Linked DNA regions of Sus scrofa. The protein of the gene in region 1 interacts with the protein of each later gene in a pairwise test. Links are inferred from orthologs where the notes say so. Each region holds a gene or a part of one and is shown in the gene's direction. Other genes may lie near its edges.

Region 1 (12,169 bases):
TGCGAGAAAAACAGCTGAACTGAAAGACTCACAATGTAGACAAAAGGAGAATGTTAAGTATTTTGTAGACGTCATGAGTTGGGTCCTTGGTGTAAGAATGCAAGAATCCTTTTCCTTGAGAGTCCTGGGTTGTATTTTTTCCCAGTATGTGTAATTTTTTCCCCTAGTATATTTGTTGTATGAGGCGAATTCTTAAGTTGAATAGTGGTTAGAAAGTGCTTTTTTGGATCACACTCTGAGCTCCAGGATACCACCTTCCTCCCAAATAACATTATGTCCCCTGTGGTCAGATGGGTTATATCCCGCAGGACTGATCAACAGAGCCTGGTACTTGAAAAACCAGCTCTGAGCTGCTGCAGTGGCGCGGGTTCTATCCCTAGCCCAGGAACTTCCGCATACCATGGGAATAGCCAAAAAAAGCCTTGCAAAACAAACAATCAAAAAAACAAAAACAAAAGAAGTGCTGCCTTTGGTCTAGATAGAGCACTCCCACTAGTCAAGGGAGGAAGGGAGAGATGGATGTGTGGGTGGATGGATGGGTGGATGGATGAAAATGCAGAGAAGAATTAACAACCTCACCGTCTTGTTTTTATTTTTGTTTTTGGCCAAGCCCATGTCTGGGACCAGGGATTGAACTCACACACCACAGAGGTGATCAGAGCCACAGCAGTGACAACTCTGGATCCTTAACCCACTGAGCCACCAGGGAACTCCCTCGTCTTTGTTTAAGAGGACCAGGTCTGCAAAATATTAAGCATTGGCCTCTTTTTTTAAGCATAGGATTTCATTTTTAGGAGCTTTATTTTAAATTTTAAATTTTTAGGTGACTTAACTAGTGCTGAAGTTGACCTGAAAGTCTCAGTCCACCCATAACCTAGTGTTGCCGTCTAACTAAATCTTTTTCCACAATCCCCAACTCTGTCTCCATATCCACCATATCCACATCATCTGGTGTTTCTCTCCCTGTTTTAATGATTTAGCTAGCCACTAGCCACCAGCTTTCTCTCTTCTGGTGGATACGCGAAGGAAGAATTCACTTTCCTCTATCTTGGAGGCTGAGCCAGAGGCAAGATCAGCCTTCTAGTTCCTCTCATTTTCTCCTCCACCAGGACTGCACTCTGCCTCACTGCTTCACTTCAAACTGTATCTTTTTTTCTTTTAAGATGTATCTTTTTTTTTTTTTTTTTTTTTTAACAGCTGCACCTGCACATGGAAGTTCCTGAGCTAGGGGGTAAATCGCCTACAACCACAGCTACACCAACACCAGATCCTGGCCACATCTTCGATGCCAGATCCTTAACCCACTGAGCAAGGCCAATGATCGAACCCTCCCATCCTCATGGACAGATTATTTACCTGCTGAGCAACAAGGGGAACATCAAGTATCTATCTTTTTTTTTTTTTTTTTTTTAGCTCCACTTTTCATCTTTCTTGTTTGAGGAATGACTACCCAGTTCCTTGAGCTAAGCCTAGGTTATTTTTAAGTACATGGGTTTGCAATTACCTGTGTGCAAGAGACCTAGAGAACCTGTGTGCAAGAGACAAAGAGAACATGGGTAAAGGAAATGCTGAGGACATTCTAGCATTCCTGATACTATTCCCTGGGCGCTTACTAATGCCTCCTATCCCCAGACTGCTTGCTCTGTCTTGTTTTGCAAGCTGGAATCTACAGTTGATGATGCTTTTTTTACTACTCTGGGGTTAGAGGAGTTTCATGTCACCCTAATCAGAAAGTACAAAATCTACCAATGAGGTAGACCCAGTTCCTGCTGGAGAATCCTTTATACACATTTCAATTTTCCCCAAAGATTTTTTAATATCTCATGTTTTAGGGCTGGTGTCCAATACGGTAACCACTAGCCCCATATGGCTGTTTAAACCTAAGTTTAAAATAAATGAAATTAAACATTCAGTTCTTGAGTCTCACTATACACATTTCAAGTACTCGATAGCTACTTATGGCTAGAGGTCGGACAGCACAGATACAGAAATTTTACATCATTGCAGAAAATTCTATTTTTATTTTTATTTTTTTTTGTCTTTTTGCCATTTCTTGGGCCACTTCCGCGGCATATGGAGGTTCCCAGGCTAGGGGTCGAATCGGAGCTGTAGCCGCCGGCCTACACCACAGCCATGGCAACGCAGGATCCTTAACCCACTGAGCAAGGCCAGGGATCGAACCTGAAACCTCATGGTTCCTGGTCGGATTCTTTAACCACTGCGCCATGACAGGAATTCCCGATTGCAGAAAATTCTAATGGACAGTGTGCTGCAGGCTCTGGACAGTGCAGTGGAGCTTAGTGAATGAGGTCACATGCTCTGTAGTCAAAAGAAGTGTCTTTGAATCTGCTTCACAACTAGTTGCCCATATGACTCTGGGCAACTACTTAATTTCACGGAGCCACAGTTGACTCAATGGAGATAATAATATCTATTACAGACGTCTATTCTAAGAAGTGACTGGTACTCTGCAAATATCTATGTTTGTGTTGGTACTAAAAGCAGGAGAGTTTAGAACCTCATTGCCTCCCTTCCTGAGATGAAGCACACACTGAGGTCTACACTTCACTCCTATGCCCTGGACCCTTAAGCCTGAGTTCCCTTGGCCTGGTAGCTAGAGGCTGAAAGAGGTCAAGAGTCCTCTCTGTCTATTGTCAGCCCTCAGTGCCAACTCCACTGTTAGGTATAAACTCGGGTACTTAGGATCCATCTTCCTTCCTCTGACTGATGAGGGAATTGGGAAACTTCTGGAGAAAGTGAGAGCCACGATGGTTTTGCTTCCACTTCTCAATGTATCTGATTGTACCCCTGGCACAGCGCACCTCAAACTGTGGCAATGTCCTGTGTGGTTGCCCCTGGTTGGCCTCAACCCCCTGTGCTAGGTGGGGGTGGGGTGGGGTGGGTAGGAGAGGTGAGGAAGTTGTACACCCCCATAAAATCCAGGCCACCTTCGGGAGACTAAGCTAGTTTCCACACCTCCGTGGAGGCCCAAGTCCATTCCAAATCCCAGAGCCTTGAAGGTGACTTCAATTCTGATATAGGTCCAGAATTTTTCCCCATCTCTCAGATTCTGGATGATTTGGGAGCAGACAAAAATTTTCTGCCCCCCCCCCGCCCGCCTTGTCCCACTCCCAATTCACATCCCCCAATCCCAGACGGCTGGTCTCTGAGAGAGGGGAGGAGCAAGGAACAGAGGAAAGAGGATGAGGAGGGGAAGGCGCTTCTCAGCCATCAACTTGGCTCTTCCTCCTGTGGGATTTGCACTGGTTCCCTGTGTAGCTTCCAGGAGCAGTTTCAAAGCCAGATCAAAGGCAGAGATCAAGAAGGAGCAGAGAATAACAGAGAGCAGAGGAGAGAGCACAACTCTACAGCAAGTAATTTAACTGGGGAGTCTCAATGTCAAAATTCGTGCTGGTACAGAGTGGTTTTTCTACAAAACTGCTAAGTTAGGTTATGAATCCCACTCAGAGATGAAAGGACTGAAATATAGCTAGGTGAGGTCACTTTCCCAGGATCAGCCAGCGAGGCAGACATGGGAGCTGGCTCTCCTGACTCACTGTGCAGCTTCTCACTGCATCCCCGTGGTTGCTCAGGCTCAGGCATCTGAGTCACCTCTGTGGATTTTACTTTCGTCGCTGCCAGAGTCCACTTCCTCCTTTCCTTTCCCACTGCCGTCGCCCGGTGCCAGGGCATCTGACCTCTCACCTAGGCTACTGGCAACAATCTCCCATCTGGTCATTAGCCAGGTCACCTTCACCCTCGCCCATCCCAGCCACCACTGAGATAAATGTAACCAATGCAGAGCTCTCAGGGAAACTCTCAACGACTTCCTGTTGTCTAATTTATTAAGTGTTAAAAACTCTTCAGCACAGTGTCCACAGGCTGCCAGTGTGCCAGCAGCATGCTCTGTACTCCAGCCCAAAGCACCATTTGCTCTGAGCTTTCCCTGCACTCCTGTCTTTGCTTCTGTGCCTTCTCTTGGAAAGCTCCACCTATGTCCCCTGCAACAACAGGCCCATCAACATCTAAGTTCCTCAGTGGATCAACTCAAATGCCACCCCACCCATGAAGCCCTCCTGACTCCTCCACATCCTGCAGTTTTTGTCACATGTTCTTTGGACTGTGGTTCTGTATATGCATGTTTTATCTCTGCTATATATCAGACTGAGTTCCTTGAGGACAGTGACTTGTGTCTTATTCAGTTTTCAATCCCCAGAGCCGAACACAATAGAGACACCTGAGAAACGCTCAACCAATATATATTTTTTTGGGCCGCAGGTGTGGCTTATGGAAGTTCCCAGGCTAGGGGTCAAATCAGAGCTACAGCTGCTGGCCTACACCACAGCCACATCACACCAGATTCGAGCCAGGTCTTCAACCTTCACCACAGCTTATGGCAACGCCAGATCCTTAACCCATGAGATCCTTAACTGAGCAAGACCAGGGATCGAACCCTTGTCCTTGGGTTTGTAACCCACTAAGCCACAACAGGAACTCCTCAACCAGTATTTTTTGAGGGAATGATTTCCTCTTAAAAGGATAGGCTTGGCTACAATGTACATTACTCATTTAAGTGCTTTTCCTGAGGTTGCAAGGTCTTTTACAATAGAAACTTCATTTTGTTTAGAAAAGAGTTCTCATGTCTTGCTCAGACCATCACAGCCCATGTGATAATAAACACAGTTAACGCCTCAGCTAGGTGAACTAATTACTCACTAAAAAAATGTCACCAGTTCTCTCCTTCGCTGTAGTTGCTAAAAAGCTATTGAAAGGAATAAGAAAATTCTCCAAAGATCTCTGAAAGGTTTATGAATACGCGTAACTTATTATTTGTTAATAGAGCTTATTAGATTCTCAGTAAGCGCTCAGTGCACTAGCATGAAGGGCACCCATGACCAGTCACAGCCCCCTACTCTTTGCTGGTAATTAAGTGCACGCTGGGGATGTGCTAACACAAGGTGTTCATTGCAGGAGGTTTTTAAAATCAAGGAGAAATAAAACTGCAAATTTAGCACATAAAAAATAGACGTGTTTCTTTTTCATTTTTGATCTGATTTTAAATATTTAAACAAAACATATAGCTGAAACAGTGGTTTCACAAAATCCCGGCAAATATCAGAACTGAAACTGATGGCTCAAGAAACAGTCCAGGAAATGGCCAGAGAAACTATCATTAAAAAAAAAAAAATCACCTTGGTAAGTGAGACAAATGCCAAGGGGTATAGGTATTTCAGACCAGATAAAACCCAGATCTGGAAGCAGGACTCGGTTTTCATGTCCACTGAAGATGGCCCTGCCATCTGTTCCCCACTGTGTGGCAAAACGAAATAAGGGGTCTGACCCCATGTCCCAGTTACTACTGTATTACTGATTGTCGATGGAAACTAAATTTAAATGTTTAAAGGCTGTCCAATTTTCTGGGCATTTTGGGGGTGGGGGTGGGGTATAGGATGAAAGAGGAGTAGGCAAAAGGGAGGGAAACGCACACTAGAGCTTTCTTTCACAACTTCTAAAAAAACCTGGATCATCAAGTGGCATTTGGATATTTTAAAATTTTGTGGAGCCTCCTATGGTGAAAAGATTAGCAATCAGTTTTTAAGTTGGAATTTTTCGCATTTCCTGACCCTCACAAAGAGGAAGTGGTTAAGACGAAGCGAGGCTTTTTAGATGACTACCTTTGTGAAGCCAGGATGATGCTCTTCAGGACCTGTTTTGTCTGTTTTCACCTCAGGCAGGGGGGTCATTGCTCCTTTTGGTGACTGGCTTCCTAAATTCTCAACACAGAAATGGCTTTCGTTCTACTTGGATGACATTCTCCCCAGTCCTGGAGAAGCCCGTCACCGAGTCCTTATTGAGTGCTCACAGAGGGCATAGCTCAGTGACTCGGCACGAACATTCCCATTTGTTGTTGACAACTGTCAGCGGCACCTCCCGCTCCTCACAACCCCTGTCTAAATGGCTTTTGCAGTCCTCCTTCCCACCCACTCTCTTCACTCCTTGGGCCAGGAATGTTGGCCCCTGTTCCCTGTCACCTGTCAGAATCCATCCTCCTGTCACTGGCTTATATGGAGAAGTCAGCCAGCTGTCACGTGACCCTCGGCTGCTAAAAACAGCTCGAGCACTGCTCTGAACCCCAGCCTGAAACAATGTCCTCCACCAAAAGAAACGTAAAGGACGCTTGATTGTACAATCCTTGGAATTATTTCCAGGAATCACTCGCCGAAACCGTTCGAAGCACGCTTTCCCTGGCAGTGCACACGGGGACGGCCAGGAGATGAGCGCATCTTTGAATTACAAGTCTTTTTCCAAAGAGCAGCAGACCATGGATAACTTGGAGAAGCAACTCATTTGCCCCATCTGCCTAGAGATGTTCACAAAGCCCGTGGTCATTCTTCCCTGCCAGCACAACCTGTGCAGGAAATGTGCCAGTGACATTTTCCAGGTAGGTTTGTTTGGAATCTAGGGGTAGAGGGAAAAAATGTTCTCATCTCCCAATCAAGTGCTTAAGTCTGAGGTGAATTTCTCTAGGAAGCGTTCTAAGGTTGCATTTATTTAAAACAACAACCAAAAAGAAAGACCATTTTTAAAAGTGATTTGCTTTGTGCTTTGCCATCAGCCTCCTCCTGGCTCTCAAATCTAATTTTATTAAAATATTAAGAATCATATTTGTCCTTTTAGAAACATTGAATCTGTTTCAAAATTGTAAATGAATTACTGCCCAAGGCATTACTGTTGGAGTTTCTGGCTGGAACTTTTGGTTATGAAAACGTTAGGTGGAAAAGGACCTCATGCTGAAAATGGCACATTGCAGTTGACCATGGGTGAGGGTTGGTCCTGTGTTTTGGGACCAGTTACTATCTCCCAGCAAGGAGTTGATGTTGTTTGTAGTAACTGAGAGGGAAAGGAGGTCCCAGGAAAGCTACCTGTGGCAATGCTCAATTCCTCTTTTCTTGCTCGGCAAGAACAGGCCTCTAACCCGTACTTGCCCACAAGAGGAGGCACCACTGTGGCCTCGGGGGGCCGATTCCGCTGCCCATCCTGCAGACACGAAGTGGTTTTGGACAGACATGGGATATACGGGCTTCAGAGAAACCTGCTGGTGGAGAATATTATTGACATCTACAAGCAAGAGTCCACCAGGTATGCGCCCCCCTCCCCTGCCCCCGCCGGCCGTGTCAAACACGTTGGAAGCTTGCTTTTGTTTATTTGTTTGTTTTAGTGGGTCGCTATACTGAATGCTTGTTTGCCAATCACGGGCTAATTGTTTTATAGGAAAATGTTTTTCCAAGTCAGTCCTTACCAATGGGAGAGAGAGTTGCTCTTGGGAGGAGAGAAGGAAGCTGGTGCCCATGCTTTTCTATCAATTTAAGAATGAAGTAACTCATTATCACTAATCCAGTCCAGATGGTGATCTTGAAAGAGGCATGATGCTGCCCCTGCTCCCAGCCTGGTATTACATCCACAGGAGACGTTTCTGCACTTCACAGGTCCTTTAGAGCTCCAGAGTCTACACAATAGGAAATTAACAGAAATGACATCTTCCAAAATCAACCTCTTAGATCAGACAGTCTCACTTTAAAATTTTCTAGAGGAGAATCATAAAAAGAAAATCCTCTGACGTGGTCATGGTATTGACTCTGGAAAGGAGCAAAGCAAGGCAGAGTCCTAAGCTTTAGCAACTTAAAAGTTTAGAGACGAAGAAAAAAAAAAGAAGAAGAGGGTGCTCAGGTTATGTTTCCCTGTTCTCTAGGTTGTACTATGGGCTCTTGGCATTCACTTGCTGATTGACACGCAGTATACACATCAGTCATTAAAAAGGGGCAGTGGGTGCATCTTACTCATCGAATCACATTGGCTATAGTATTCCTTTCCTAAAGACAACACTGCAGGAGTTCATTCCTAGAAGGCATGGTGTGAAGAGCCCCCTTTTTAATGGTACAGTCAGTGCAGCCCACAACACCAGATAGCAATACTGAGACCATCTAGAAATGACCTCGCTGTGCTTCCTATTAGGAGACGTAGACTCATGGAACATCTGCAGGGCCCTAGGAGCCTTGTGCTCTTAGAAAGAAAGCTGTTCTATAAACCTAACATATAATTATTATCATCGCTATGGCTATTCATTTCTGCTTAAGATTCAAAACTAAATTAGATAGTGCCAGGATATAGATGGCACTGGGAAGAATTGCTGACAACGTACTGCAGAGATGGAGTTGGCTATTTCCCTTGCTTCCAAAATCTCTTGAGAAGAAGGAAAGTACCATTTTTGTAATTACGATTTGATCTCATTTTATTTCATTACTTTAAGATGCAAATAGATAAACTGTCTCTTAAATTAACCAGCCAAATAATAACCAACTGATCATTAAGGCTCTTTATGTAACAACTGATTCAGTGCCTAGTACAGTGGTTTGCACGGAATACTTGCTCCCTAAGTGCCAGGTGATTATGCAACCCCATAAATCTTCTTACACATTCTATTTATTGCAATAATTTTCTGTTTTGCTACTTGCAGAGTGAGAGCTTGAATGATATGAAATAATAATAGTAATTGTTATGTAATCCAGAAAAGAGGAGATGTTAAAAATTTGTAGCAGTAGTAAAATGACAAGACACATCCTGGCTTTAAAGTCTGTGCAGCGCGACTGCCAAATACAGTGCCCGGGTGAACAAGCTGCATAAAAGCAATGAACCAAACTTCCAACAACGAAACTCATGACTGAGTAGACTAGCAGTGTTTTTGTGATTATCAAATTCTTCTTATGCTGGTGTTTCTGGAAGTTGAGACTTGCCTTTGGGACATTTTTACTTAGTGGCGAAACCACAAATTGTACAGAGGGCTTGGGCACATGTTTGAACATAAACCCAGTTGTTCCCTGGAGGCTGGCAGATTTACCAGCCCAGAACCCTAAGGCCCAGGGTATGTTAGGTGACTCTGGAATAACGAGGATACATAGAGTGAAATGAACTGACTCTGGCCCATGGTCAGGGTGGGCGCAGATAGGGGAGGAGGCTGGTCCAGTCTGGCTTCCCACAGAATGGCTGGAGATGGTAGGTCTCAATGAAACCTGGCCTTCTAACCTATCATTCTGCCTGGTGCTGAACTAGCCACAGTTTGGGAGTGGGATGATGAGAGAAGGAACTAATTTCACTAATATTAATAATGAACATAATAACGAGTAACTGTAAAACACAGAAAGTAAAACAATTATGTGTTGAATATGTGTCAGCCACTGTTCAGGCTGCTAGACACATGAATCATGTGTAATTCCTTAATTCTCATAATAATCATGTGAGATTGTAGTTATTATTATTATTAACACCTTATTAAAATATTAAAAAATTTTAGTCAAAGTAATTCCTATGCACATGCATAATTTTAAACATTCCAATAGCACTACAAGACCTCAAATGAGGGCTGCATTTTTTTTTTTTTTTTGTCTTTTTGCCATATCTTGGGCCGCTTCTGCGGCATATGGAGGTTCCCAGGCTAGAGGTCTAATCAGAACTGTAGCTGCCGAGCCACAGCAACTCAAGATCCGAGCCCCATCTGCAACCTACACCACAGCTCACAGCAACGCTGGATCCTTGACCCACTGAGCAAGACCAGGGATCGAACCCTCAACCTCATGGTTCCTAGTTGCATTTGTTAACCACTGAGCCATGACCGGAACTCCAGGGCTGCATTTTCTGCCCTACTCTCTCTTTGAGCACTGAGGGAACCACATTTAACTCTTTCAGCTGTTCTTTGGCCATTTGTCACCCAGTGACAGGGGAGGAGTATGCTGCTAGTCTGCTCCTAGTCCTCGACTTTGCAACTGTAGACAGGGAGGACTGAGCCCTTGCGTGGCTGGGCTTCACCTCCTCTCCCCTGGCTTGAAGCCCTTGTTTCTGGCTCGAGGTTGACCTCTTTGTTGGTTTTATCTACTGCTTTAGGGAGCATGCCTTCAAGTAATCCCCCAAATGTGCAAAAAGTCCTCTTCTTTCCAGCCTCTCCACACTCCCGCCCCCCGAGTGCGTGGCCTCTGCAGCCCCAGGGCCTTCGCAGGGGGAGCAGCTTGCTCCCTGTACGCTTCTCCCCTGCAGGCTCTCAGCACAACTACAGTGCAGCTCAGGCAGGTCACCTCCGTTCATCCAGATGGTCCCAATTTTCAGCACTTGGTTGACATCTCTTCTCTGCTTTCATTTTGCTCATTTTTGTCCTTATTTTTTTTTAAATCTGTATTTATTTTTTGGCTGTAGCATGTAGCAGCTTGTGGGATCTCCGTTCCCAGATTAGGGATTGAACCTGGGCTGCAGCTGGGAAAACTCCAAGTCCTAACCACTAGGCCACCAGGGAACTCTCTGTCCTTATTGATTTATACCTTTTGATTCCCTTACTCTCATTTTAGTGGGATTTCAGCAAGGAACACATAAATTCACGTGTTCACTGTGTCATACTTGATTAGAAGACAGACCCCTAGTCCAATTTTCAGATACGAGTAAAAGCTGATCCTGAAAGAGCTGCAGGAACTCTAGACAACTAAGGCCACGTAGCCACCACATGGAGAAACTGAGCTGGAGGCAGGCTTTGAGATCAGCTTAACTGTAAAGGTACTGCCAGGAACACCTCATCCACATCAGATGCCCACCCTTCAGGAAACCTGAGGATTGGTCCCAGCCACTTAGCAGAAAGCAGGCTACACACACCCTGAGCGGAGCCTGCACTGAACAGCTGGGGGCCACCACCAGTGCCCTGAACCACAACTGAGAGTTCAGCCACCCTCGCCTCATGAAGCTGCCTTTACATCTCTACATGCCATGCCCGTCCCAAGTCTGTTAGGTGTTTTAAGGGGTCTGAAGGTTTTCCTTATACACCCACTTGTAAGTGGGGGGTGTCTCTGCCCCTGCGCTGCCATCTAAACAGGAAAAACCTATAAGGAACATTGGAGGAAGTCCTCATGTCTTATGGCATTATGAAAAAGTCATCACCATCCGAAGCTAAATGAAGAGCTGATGGCTGTTTCCACCTTAGTGTTGGACACACTGAAAATATCTGAGCTCTACAATGTCATCTCTGGTCCCTGCTGCTGACCCTAGAACAGTACACGGGCCACAGACTGCCCTGAGGAAACACCTAGAAGAGAGCTGCAGCCTTGCCGTCAGCTGTGTCCCCTTCCACCAACTGTGCTCCAGACACTTGCTTGACATTTATCACCAGGTGGAGGTACCCAGTAGGGAAGGTTTAAGAGGTGGAGCAGCCTTTGACCAAAGACCATCTCGCCCCTCCCAGCCTTTGGATAACCCTCAAGGGCTTTGTCATTTATAAATGGAGTCTTCAGGTGCTGTCTGGTCTCTTCCTTTGCCACTCAGGAGAGCCAGGTGACCAAGCGTTCTCACGGTCACAAGCTTTCTCCAGATGAGCGGTTTTATGGTTGAGCCCAGGGAATACTGTCCACTAATTGGCAAGTTCCCTTTCACTTCTCACTCATTCATTCAACAAATATTTACTGAGTAGCCACTCTATGCAAAGCACCGCTGTGCACAGTGGGGATCTGGCAAAGAAGAAGACAGGCCACGGCCTCTGCCCTCATGGCGCTCACATTCTAGTGGCAGAAACAGACCTGGGACATGGAATCATTTTCTCAGGGGTGGAGTTTACTTTCCTTAGTTGACTTCCAAGCGTGTGGCAGAAATCAGTCAGGAGGCTTCCTGGAAAACATATCCTATGCAACCAGGTGTAAAAGCCTTTTGCCAAAATCAGATTCTGAAATCTTGAAGCTGGAAGTCCATACAACTTCCTCACCACACCCAGGGCTTCGCCCAAAGTCAGCCCAACCTCAAGCACTTGACAGTTACCCAGTGACTTCCAGATGGAAATAAGCACATGCTCTGCTTTTCTCTGAGTCCTGGGGCTGCAACTCCATGATGCCACCCATCAGTATCAATGGTATTCAAATATTTTTGTTAAGGGCTCAAAGCAGGAAGTATATTTTAAATTGTAATCTTATGACCATTACATACATGGATGGCCTTCCCATGTATATATATATACACACAAACACACACGCACACACACACACACACATACACACACACACACATATATATATACACTTTTGTTTTAGGTATACATAGGTATTTGTATACACATTTATGTACATATATATAAATACATGTACACCTGAAA
Region 2 (11,539 bases), on another chromosome or scaffold:
GAGAACTAGGCACATATGTGCACGAAGAAATTTTTGGATACAAGGGAAAGAGAAAGACAGATACAGGGAGACAGGTTGTCTCTCATCATCCCCATTGTCTGTCAGCTCTTGGAGGGCAGAACCCCCAGTGTGTTCTACGTGAAGTAGGGGGTCAGTACATCCTGGATGCCTAGATCAGATGTATTTTCAGCAAGACAGGGAAATTCACCTGAGTTTTATTGGAAACATTACTTAGAACACGTGTGTTGGAGAGGTTGTATGATGTGGAGCTGCCCCATAGATCTTGGGTCTTTCTCATCATCCACTGCATCTGACTGTGATTGTGGACCTGCTGTTGTCTCGTGAGCCTGGGTGTGGATCCTGGCACCTAATCTCCGAGATGTGTGAGGCCAGGCCCTGCCTGCCGAGGGCTGCAGTCGAGCAGAGGGGGCGGCCAGAGAGGGCTAAGAGTCAGGTGGGAGGTGCGTTGTGCCGTGTGCCCAGTGATGACCCAGAGAGCAGGTTCTCTAAACTTCACAGGAGGGGATGAGGCCTGGAAGCTGACCTCAGGGCGGTTTTGAGATGTGGGTAGGCAGCGGCCACACGTTTGCAGCGAGCACGTGAATTCTGCTGAATTGGCAAGGTGAGGTTTGTCTTGCTGAGATCTACTCTGTGCTATAGCTGCCAGTCTGTTTTTTTTTTTTTTTTTTTTGCTGCGGAGGAGCCTGGAATTGGAATCGGAACCTGGAGTTCATTCTGGTTCTGCTGTTTGCTGGCTGCATCATAATCTGGTCTTAAGTCCGCTTTCTGTTGACAGACCTCTGTGGCACTTTTCTGGCAGACTTAGCTTCCCTAGCTGTAAAATGGGGATAATGGTGGTACCTTCTCCGTAGGGTCACTGTATAGCACCATTGTTAGATGGGCTCAACTTGCAAGGAACTTGGGAAACAGCTCTGTCCTGAGCCCACCTCTGTCCTTAAAGGTGATGTGAGTTTCCACTCTGCCTCTTCAGAGGAGCTCAGGCAGAATACCCAGATTTCCAGTGATTGCCTGTAGATTATCGGCATTGAAAAGGCCAGTTCACATCAAAGCCAGTTTAAAGCTTCTCCCACCACCAAGCTCAGGAGCCCTGGATCCAGCAGAGCAGAAGGGTTGGCATTGGCATCCTCTGGTGTTTTTTTCCTCTGTGCTCTACCTCTTTGTCTCCTCCTAACCTCTCTGGAGTCAAGGATCAAGGGATGGGGAGATTGGAGAGGAGACAGAGGCTTTCACTGAGCTGGTGCGTTTGCTCCTGCTGGGCGGCCATGAGTCTTCCTGGTCTTTTTGTGGGGTCACACTAGTGGTTCTTTAGAGATACCTTCCACTCCTTCTTTTCCTCTCAGGGACTTCCACAAGGACCTTTTGATGCCCTGTTGTAGCCAAAATCAACCTCTGTACAGGGGTACTAATTAAGTCTCAGAGACAGAGTTTTGGGTGAAGCAGAAAGAACACTTTATTGCTTTGCCAGGCAAAGGAGTCCATAGTAGGCTAATGCCTTCAAAACTTTCCTCTCTTGAGAGAGGATAGCAAGAGGTTTTATAGGCTGAACAAACAGGGCTGTTGATAAGGATTAAGGTGCCTGCATTCTTCTCCCTCCCTAGATCATTTCAGAGTCATCGGGGCCAGAGTCAGGGGGTTGGGTAAATGGTTTCTGGTGGTCTTTGGGGTTATCGCATCATGACCATCGCTTTGCAGTGAAGATTGCCCAGAAAAGGATGTGGGTGTTAGGGAGTGTTTCAAAAGAAAACACCAGGTGTGATAAAACTCTAACTAGAAAGTAACCGTTAGAAAAAGAAAGCAATTAAGCAAGGAAGAAATTATTTGTGAAAAGCCAGTTAGAGTAAGTTAGTGGGTTAAGGACATAACATAATGGAGACTGTTTTAACTAGTTTTTAGCTGTAGAAATATTTCCTAATCATTAACCCTTGAGTCAGTCTTTTGAAACTGAGGGGAGGCCTGGGAGGTTAAAGGAAAAGCCTTTTACTTCAAAACATAAGGACTAGGAGTTTCGGTCGTGGCTCAGCAGTTAATGAATCTGACTGGAATCCATGAGGACGCAGGTTTGAGCCCTGGCCTCGCTCAGTGGGTTAAGGATCTGGTGTTTCGGTAAGCTGTGGTGTAGGTTACAGATGCAGCTCGGATCCTGCGTTGCTGTGGCTGTGGTGTAGGCCGGCAGCTACAGCTCAGATTCTACCCCCAGCCTGGGAACCTCCATATACTGTGGGTGCAGCCCTAAAAAAAGCGAAAAAAAAAAAAAAAAAAAAGGAAAAGCCCACAAGGACTCAAGGGCTTATACATGGTTTCAGTCTACCTTTTTCTTTGATGTTCCTCAATCTTAAGAAGGAACCAGTGTGGAACAAGAAAGGGAGTAAAGTTTAGATTGAGAGGTTCATCATAAACGTGGCAGAGGATCTTGGTTTTAGTTCCGTCTCTGATTTAGAGACCGACAACCTCTATATCCCCATCCCAGCTCCTGCCTGAGCCTCTTCAGCCGCCATCCCATCGTCTTATATGGTGCCCTCTCTGGCGGGGCCTGACTGCCTTCTGAGCTCTCCTTTTAGCCCCAGAAGAAGCCCACACATCCTTGTCAGCCAGAGTTGTCTCTGCTTTTCCCATCCTGGCAGTTGCAGCCAGCCTCCTATGCTTCTCCGGGTAAAGGCAAGTTCCTGAGAGCTCCCTGTGTTCTGCTCCAGAAACAGCCCCAGGCAGGTACACTCAGAGCCCAGGAGCTCTGCAGCAGTTGCCTGGGGCGCGGAGCCATTGGTTTTTCTTGCTGGTACCCCAGTCTCCACCAGGGTTTCTCTCATCTTCCCACATGGGAGAGGCTGCAGAGCCCTCCTCTCCTGTAACTTCCTTCAGAGGACCCTCCCCACCCCCTGCCAATGCATCACTAGCCTGCTCTGAAATAGGCTGTCATGGACCCATATGCCCACTGAGGAGCAAGTCCTATAAGGACAGAAAGTGGGGTGTTTATCACGCCTTTAGTTCTGAGTCAGCAGGAAGAGTCCTGTTCTCATGCCTGGTACATAGTCAACATCCAGTGCATGTTGGCCACTATCACTATTTAGCTTCTGTGGGCTTGAGTTTTCTTATCTGCAAGTCAGGGCTAATGGTAATCGCCACTCTGTTTCCCACTTAGTGCTGCTAATGTGTATGAAAGTGTTGTGAATTGGTTATTTTCATTTTTCAGCCTCAACAGAATGGGATCTCTCCACGAATGTTTAAGGCCTTTGTGAGCAAGAGCCACCCAGAATTCTCTTCCAACAGACAGCAGGATGCCCAAGAATTTTTCTTACACCTGGTGAATCTAGTAGAGGTGAATCAGTCTTTCAAAATGCTGGAAAGAGTTGTAAGAAGTGTGCCCCGCCCTTGCATGCAGTCCCCGCTGATGTGGCTGGAACGCCCCCCTCCCCACCTAATTCAGAATTGGTTCTTTGGGGCTTCCTCCTCTGGGCCCATTTGATATAATCACCCTCCTGGGCACTTCTGGGTCTGCCTGTTCTCCTCTTAATTTGAACGTGTTATAGGAGTGTTGATCCATTATTTCTATTCGCTGTTTTTGTTTTTTTTTTGTCCCTGCAACATGCTTCCTGAGAGTCCCGCATGGTATTTGGTGTCCTCCTGCCATCACTCCGAGACAGTCACTCTTGGCTCAGAGCAGAGGCAAATCACATTAAATGCTGTGGTTTTTAAAGGCTACGGAGAATTCATGATTAAAGGCTTTTTTCCCCTCTGAAAAGAAACAACTATTTTTTTTCCTGATGACAAATGTGTTCCTTGTGGAAACAGAAAGGCACAAAGGAGAAAACCAAAACCTCCATGCTACCAGCCCCACGAATGATCAATGCTGATATTTTGGTGTCTGACCCCCCCACCCTGGTGATTTTCCAGGTGAAATCAATTCTTTGCATGCTGATTTTCATTTGTGAATGTTTTGCCATGTCATTACATACTTGAATATAACGTGACTTCTTTTTGATTTTTATATAATTTGCATTAGTGCATTTACATAATCGTATCATACATGGATTAGTTTTTCCAGGGCAGTCCTTGATTTTTTTTTTTTTCCTCCTTTTTCTTTAATTGGGTTTCCTCATCTCCTTTCTTCTAGTTCTATCTAGGTCAGAAAAAGTCTCTGCCATGACTTTTAATGGCTGCATAATGTTAATTCACATGATGAACTATAATTTATTTGACCAATCTGCCATGTTTGGACTTTAGGTAAATACCAGTCTTTTGCTTTGAAGTTCTCTGGTGAACTGGCATGCCCAGAGGGAACATTTGGTAGCACCAGGTCTTTACACCAGATTTATGTGTGATTTTATGCTAATTTTCATTCAGGGCTTAATATTCATGAATTTACTAACCTGATATAATCCAACCTTCAGAGGAACCGCATTGGCTCAGAAAACCCAAGTGACGTTTTTCGGTTTTTGGTGGAAGAACGCATTCAGTGCTGTCAGACCCGGAAAGTCCGCTACATGGAGAGGGTGGATTACCTGATGCAGTTACCCGTGGCCATGGAGGCGGCGACCAACAAGGGTAATGGGGATGAGCAATGGACTTCATCATGTAGAAACTTGCACCAGAGATACTGCCGTTTAGTCATGCATGGTTGACTGAACAAGAGTGGACCCAGTGTTTGGCTTGCTCTTTTCAAAAGCTCTTCAGCTTTTCCTCCGTCCCCGTCTGACTGAGATTTTTGTAGAGGATTTATTCAGGGAACCTACTTGGGCACCTATGAAATTTGACCCAGTGGTTGGTTTAGAGTTAGCTTAATGTGGAGGAAATTATTAGTAATTTAATATTATCATTCCTAAGTACTGTAAAGTCTGAGGAAAATGATCAGAACTGCGTTTTTTGATGTGAGACATTCAAGCAGAGGCCTCTGTAAATAATCCAGCTTTGACAGCTGAGTAAGATGCCTGCTGGGATAAAGCATGGCAGGGCTCTTTGTGGAGTGAGGCCCCTTAGGAGGGTCTCTGGACCTAGGAAGCAGGAAGAAGGCAGATACTGGAACCAGGTGGAGGCTCAGGGGAAGGTTCCTTCAATCAGTCTGATCTGGTTCTTCATGAATTAGTAGAATTAACATCTTAGAAGCAGGAAAAGGAGAAATATCTGCTGACTTGCTTATCTCCCGTGAACTGGTCATTTTTGCAAAGTTCAGCCACTCCCCGGGTGACCTTTTCCTCTTTTTTTGGAGGGGATAGTCACTTAGTTGTGTTAATTAGAAAGTGATGATTATGATGATTTTTTTTTGGCTGCCCCACAGCATATGGAGTTCCCAGTCCAGGGATCAGATCCAAGCCGCACGACCTCAGCTGCAGCTGCGCCCTGGCTCTGCAGAAATGCCCCTGTTCCTGTTGTGCCACATCAGGCACTCTTGTGATGATTTTTAAGATGGAATGATTTCCATTTTCTATAAACTCATGCAGCTTTTGACTAGTTTATAAATTCTTAATTTTTTTTTTAATTTGTCTTTTTAGGGCCACACCTGTGGCATATTGAAGTTTTCAGGCTAGGGGTCAAATCAGAGCTACAGCTGCCAGCCTGTGCCACAGCCATAGCAACACCAGATCTGAGCTGTGTCTGCAACCTACAGCATAGGCCACAACAACTACAGATTCTGACCCCCTGACCGAGGCTAGAGATCGATCCTGCAGGGATGAATCCTAGTTGGATTTGTTTCCACTGCACCACAATGGGAACTCCTAGTTTTTAAATTCTTATTCATTATACAAAGGAAATGATGGTGGGGGTCTGTGGTTTGTTTCCTTTTTAGCACCAGGCTTCATCACTTTCTCTTGCCTACTTTGGGGATAGTGACTTACATATTCTGCTCAGTTCTGTGATCTTCTCTAATTGACTGTTGATAGCTTATGAGAGGTAACTTTTTTTTTTTCAGGAAAGAGATTTATGATTTAGTCTCAGAAAATTGCTGGGAATGCCTAATGCTAGCATCCTAGATAGAAGTACATTGTAAACTGATTGTGGACTGGGGAATGAATTGTAAAAGCATATCCAGATGTGTTTAAGAAAACACAAGTGTTTATCAGTGTGCCAAAAAGCTGATAAATCAGGAGTGATTTTTTTTTTTTTTGGTAACACAAAAGAAATTCCCAGAAAGTTCCATTCAAAATCTATATAACATTTTGACTTTGGCTTCCCTGCTCTCTGCAGTGTCGGGTAACCCCAGCATGAAGTTGTCTTGGCAGTGTTTGTTAGAATCTTGGGCTGGGTGCCTCGGATAACTGCAGTTCTTGTAGTTCTTCCTGCTCCTTGGCCCACACCCTCCATGACCTCTAATTGTAGTGACAGGCCCAGGAAGAGGTGAGCCCTCAGGTCTCTTTCAGTGTGAAATTCTGTGGTGTGAAGGCTTTGTGATTTGAGGGTGGTGTGTGGTTAAACCAGCCTTGACTTCTGGACAAATGAAAGACCAGGTTCATGCATCACTTATGGCACATGTGTGGTTTGACCCCCTCACTTGGGTGGGAGTTGATAGTTCCCTCCTATCAGTCTCAAACGGAATGGGTAAAAAACTATGAATGGCTTGATGCAGCCTGGTGGTGCCACTCTAAACAAGCTTTGAGCAGGCTTCTGTGGCTCTTTGAGGGCAGCAAGTAAGCAATCCTGTCCCAGCCCAGGACCTTCAGGGAAGATTGCTCATTGTCCAAGGGGTTTTGTTTTTTTTTTTTTTAGGGCCACACCCTTGGCATATGGAGGTTCCCAGGCTAGGGGTCCAATCAGAGCTACAGCTACTGGCCTACACCACAGCCACAGCAACACCAGATCTGAGCCACATCTGTAACCTGCACTACAGCTCACAATGACACCAGATCCTTAACCCACTGAGCAAGGCCAGGGATTGAACCCTCAACCTCATGGTTCCTATTCGTATTCGTTTCCCCTGAGCCATGATGGGAACTCCCAAGAGGGTCTTTTTTATTTCAAGAAGATAAGTGATTGCAAAGTCATTTGTTTGCTCTTTTGCTTAGATGAGTTGATCGCCTATGAACTAACGAGAAGGGAAGCAGAAGCAAATAGAAGACCCCTTCCCGAGTTGGTGCGTGCCAAGATACCATTTAGTGCCTGCCTTCAGGCCTTTTCTGAACCAGAAAACGTTGATGATTTCTGGAGCAGTGCCCTACAAGCAAAGTCTGCGGGTGTAAAGTAAGTGTGTGTGTGTGTGTGTGTGTTTGTAATGTTTCTGCACTCGCTTATGTGGTGGCAGTAGGGTAAGGAGGGGACCTTGAGAGGTGGGGACTGTGGTAGGGAGGGTTGGCAGGCACTGTATGAGTCTGGGCATGCTTGACTCAAGTGTGGTGAAATAGGATTATAATTTACACAACCATAGTTGTCGTAGACCTCACTTGTATGAGACTTGTACAGTAAAACAGGCTTGTTGTAATCTATATCATATGCAAGGATGTGGATGCCTTTAAAAAAAAGCCAGGCTGTGGTTTGTCCTCTTTAGGGAATTTGCCTTTTTTTTTTTTGGCCAAGAGGGGGTAGTCAAGAATCCTTCCCTGCTTCAAGAATGATATCAGAAGTATAAATACTTCTGAGAGTCTTCAATTTTTAAACTCTACTGTGATAGACTTTAATTTGATAATGAAAGATTTGCTGGAGTTCCTGCTGTAGCACAGTGGGTTAAGGATCTGGTGTTGTCTCTGTGGTGGCTCAGGTTGCTGCTGAAGCTTGGCGTCGTGGGTTAAGGATCTGGTGTTGGTGCAGTTGTGGCATAGGTGGCATCTGTGGCTGGGATTTGATTCCTGACCATGGAACTTCCAGATGCTGTGGGTGTGGCAAAACAAAAAAAAGATTTGCCTTAGGACTTGGTGGCTGTGGTCCTGCCTGGCAGCTGGGGCTCTGAGGGTTTCTCAAAGGGGACATCAGGGATCCTGAGCATTGTTCCAACGAGCTGCTTAGGATGTGGTCAGCAGGTGTTCTAAAAGCCTTGCTCTCAGATACATAAGAATTTTGATATTCTTGTTGTGGTGCAGCAGAAACAAATCTGACTAGTATCCATGAGGATGTGGATTCAATCCCTGGCCTCTCTCAGTGGGTTAAAGATCCATTGTTGCCATGAACTGTGGTGCAGGTCTCAGATGTGGCTCAGATCCCATGTGGCTGTGGCTGTGGTGTAGGCCAGCAGCTGTAGCTCTGATTCCACCCCTAACCTGGGAACTTTCATATTCCAAGGGTATGGCCCTAAAAAAGCCAAATAAAAAATTTTTTTTTCCTTATTTGACACCTTAATTTTTTTTTTTTTTTTTTTGGTCTTTTTGCTATTTCTTGGTCCGATCCCGCGGCATATGGAGGTTCCCAGGCTAGGGGTTGAATCGGAGCTGTAGCCACCGGCCTACGCCAGAGCCACAGCAACGCGGGATCCGAGCCGCGACTGCAGCCTACACCACAGCTCACGGCAACGCCGGATCGTTAACCCACTGAGCTAGGGCAGGGACCGAACCCGAAACCTCATGGTTCCTAGTCGGATTCGTTAACCACTGCACCACCACGACGCGAACTCCAACACCTTAATTGATTTTATACAGTCAAGTGAGTCCTTACCAGCACATTTCATATAGTTGGAAAAGAGGACCTTACGGTAGGATAAAAAGAGGGGAGGTCTAAAAGTTAGGCTCTGGGTCTCTCGCTGCTTTTAAATATTCTTCAGCAATTTTTCCTCTTGGCTGAGACCGAGCGCTGGCTGATGTGAAGGGGAAGGAAGTATGGATGAGCTACTGCTGGCTGTTTTTTTTTTTTTTTTTTTAATCACTACCTCAAGTAGCAGTCAAACCTGAATCTGTTATTTCCCGTGACAGCCATCCCTCAGGATTCCTGTTTCAGATGATTGACTTCATGTTTTAAAAATGGGAAAACAGAAAGAACCTACTTCAAAAGCTAAAAAACGCTATTTTTTTCCTTAAAATAATTTCTTTGAAAAAGTTTCTTCCTATCTAAATGAGATTAATAATAGTTATTGATTATCTATTGAGTGGTAAATTTTCATTCTAGGACTGCTTAGTTTTGTGTATGTGTATATGTGTTTGTCTGTGTGTTTGTGTCCTTGCAGATAATGGTTAGTGAGTTGGCATGTTGAACGTTAGAGATTCACTTCATTCCAACTTGGACACATCTTTGGGCAGCTAGAAATCTACACTCAATATTAGTGGTGGAAACAATGTCTTTTTTTCTCTTGGCTTTACTGACATATAATTGACATATAAGGTTGTACATCATGTAGATTTTGTTTTTTTACTTTTTTTTTTTTTGTCTTTTTAGGGCTGCACCTGTGGTACATGGAGGTTCCCAGGCTAGGGGTCGAATCAGAGCTGTTGCTGCTGGCCACAGCCACAGCAATGCCAGATCTGAGCTACATCTGTGACCTACACCATAGCTTACAGCAACGCTAGATCCTTAACCCACCGAGCGAGGCCAGGAATCGAACTCACAACCTCATGGTTCTCAGTTGGATTCGTTTCTGCTGCGCCACGATGGGAACTCCTATTTTTTCCACTTTAACTATTGACAGTAGGGTGAAGATTCCCCAAACATTTTTCCTTTTCTCTCTGGGCTTTAGTTGTGATTCTGTATGGAAGCCCCCAACATCAGGTGTGAACTGCAGAGTGGTCTTCACTGGTCTCTCCACTTGGTCACCCTTTTCTGCTTTTCGGAAAAGTGGCCCCATGTCTTAGCCGTGCAGGGCGTGACATGCTCTCTGGACCTTTGGGAAGGAGCCTTCTCATCCTTAGGAAAAGGCCCATTTCTAAGGTGGAGCTGAGGGCATTAGCTTTCCACAGAGACAGTCTCTGACCCCTGGGCCTGTGCTCAGGAGATCTGGATTCTTCTCCTGTGTTCTGTTCTGGGGCAAAGACCACTCAAGGAACTTCTGACCTCTGAATGGAGGAATGATGCTCACTGATCTTATTGTCTCCTCAAATTCTACAAATATATGTAGTTGTAGGCAGTGCTAGTATGATATTTAGAATCCTTGAGGAGGGGTTTCTGCTTTCTCTAACCCTTAATAGTAGATTTAAATGTGTTTTTTCTTTTTTTTTTTGGTCTTTTTAGCTATTTCTTGGGCCGCTCCCACGGCAAATGGAGGTTCCCAGGCTAGGGGTCGAATCGGAGCTGTAGCCACCGGCCTACGCCAGAGCCACAGCAACGCGTGATCCGAGCCGTGTCTGCAACCTACACCACAGCTCACGGCAACGCCGGATCGTTAACCCACTGAGCAAGGGCCTGGACCGAACCCGCAACCTCATGGTTCCTAGTCGGATTCGTTAACCACTGCGCCACGACGGGAACTCCTAAATGTGTTTTTTCTTTTCTCTGTCTTTTACATACATACACTTATGGTTTATGTATATGAAAAAAACGTATACTAGATGCATCACAATGTTAATAAACTGGTCATTGTGGGAAAGGAAAACAGTGTTTTAGGATAATAGAGCAACTACCATTTAGGGCATGTGATAAATGCTTCCCATCAGTTATCACTTAATCCTCTTAGTACTACCCTGAGGTTGGTACATGATTCTTCCCATTGTACAGAGGAGGAGATAAAAGGAACTAATTGGCCAGTAAGTGAAGTTCCCAGGCCAGGGGTCAAATTGGAGCTATAGCTGCCGGCCTACGCCACAGCCACGCCCGATCTGAGCTGCATCTGCCACCTACACCACAGCTCATGGCAGCACTGGATCCCTGACCCACTGAGTGAGGCCAGGCATCAAACCCGCATCCTCAGGGATACTAGTTGGATTTGTCTCCACTGCACCACAACAGGAACTCTCCATCTTTATAATCTTTATAGAACCTTGTTTATTCCTTATTATGCCGTATCATGTTTCAAATATTAGTTTTGGGGAAACCAGTTTAGTGGCTTTCTAAAAGATCTTTTTCTCTTCTTATTTCTAACAATACAGACATGATCTCCTTATTATGTTAATTTGGGGCCTTGAATTTTTCTGCCTTAGACCCAGATCCTGAAAGCCTAGGAAGAGACAGGAGATATCCTCTTGGTAGATCTTGGGTCAGTGGTCACCAGACATAAAGGCCCTTTCCTTAATTGGTCATGAACAGACAGTGACCAGGAAGAACATTAGTGACTGGAAAGTTTACCCAGTGAATATTATTGCTCAGCCAGTGTATTGTCAGCAATGAGTTGAATAAGACCTAGTTCCTCCCCTTAATCAGCTTACAGGTTAAGGGTCAGTAGGGAGAGATTTTGTTCTGACCTTTATCATTTAGGAAGAGAAAAGCATGGTATGCAGTTCCAGAGCATAAGCTTTAGTGGACTGGCAGCATTTGAATCCTCAGTGTAGATAGAAACTATTGGTGTGTGACCTTGGCTCAGTGACCTCACTTCCATAAGACCCCGTTTCCTTATATGTAAATTGGGGATAAGAATAGTATTTTCTTTATAGGCTTGAGGTGAGGATTAAGGCAAGGTAAGCTACATAAAATGCTTTGCACAGTGCCTGGGAGAATAAATATATACTGTAATTATTACATTATT

What was found.
Region 2: the proteins of TRIM55 (region 1) and USP13 interact in a two-hybrid assay, tested with the Homo sapiens proteins (2 studies listed by BioGRID and IntAct). The link is inferred for Sus scrofa from reciprocal best matches to the Homo sapiens genes TRIM55 and USP13.

Annotation. Positions count from the first base shown.
Region 1 is NC_010446.5:68,524,851-68,537,019, reverse strand, and holds the start of TRIM55 (tripartite motif-containing protein 55), read left to right. Parts: upstream 1-6,092; 5' UTR 6,093-6,274; coding exon 6,275-6,442; intron 6,443-6,962; exon of another isoform or gene 6,963-6,967; coding exon 6,968-7,140; intron 7,141-12,169. UniProt on the Homo sapiens protein: E3 ubiquitin ligase that plays an important role in regulating cardiac development and contractility, muscle growth, metabolism, and fiber-type differentiation.
Region 2 is NC_010455.5:117,778,610-117,790,148, forward strand, and holds part of USP13 (ubiquitin carboxyl-terminal hydrolase 13), read left to right. Parts: intron 1-3,208; coding exon 3,209-3,334; intron 3,335-4,406; coding exon 4,407-4,560; intron 4,561-7,013; coding exon 7,014-7,188; intron 7,189-11,539. UniProt on the Homo sapiens protein: Deubiquitinase that mediates deubiquitination of target proteins such as BECN1, MITF, SKP2 and USP10 and is involved in various processes such as autophagy, endoplasmic reticulum-associated degradation (ERAD), cell cycle progression or DNA damage response.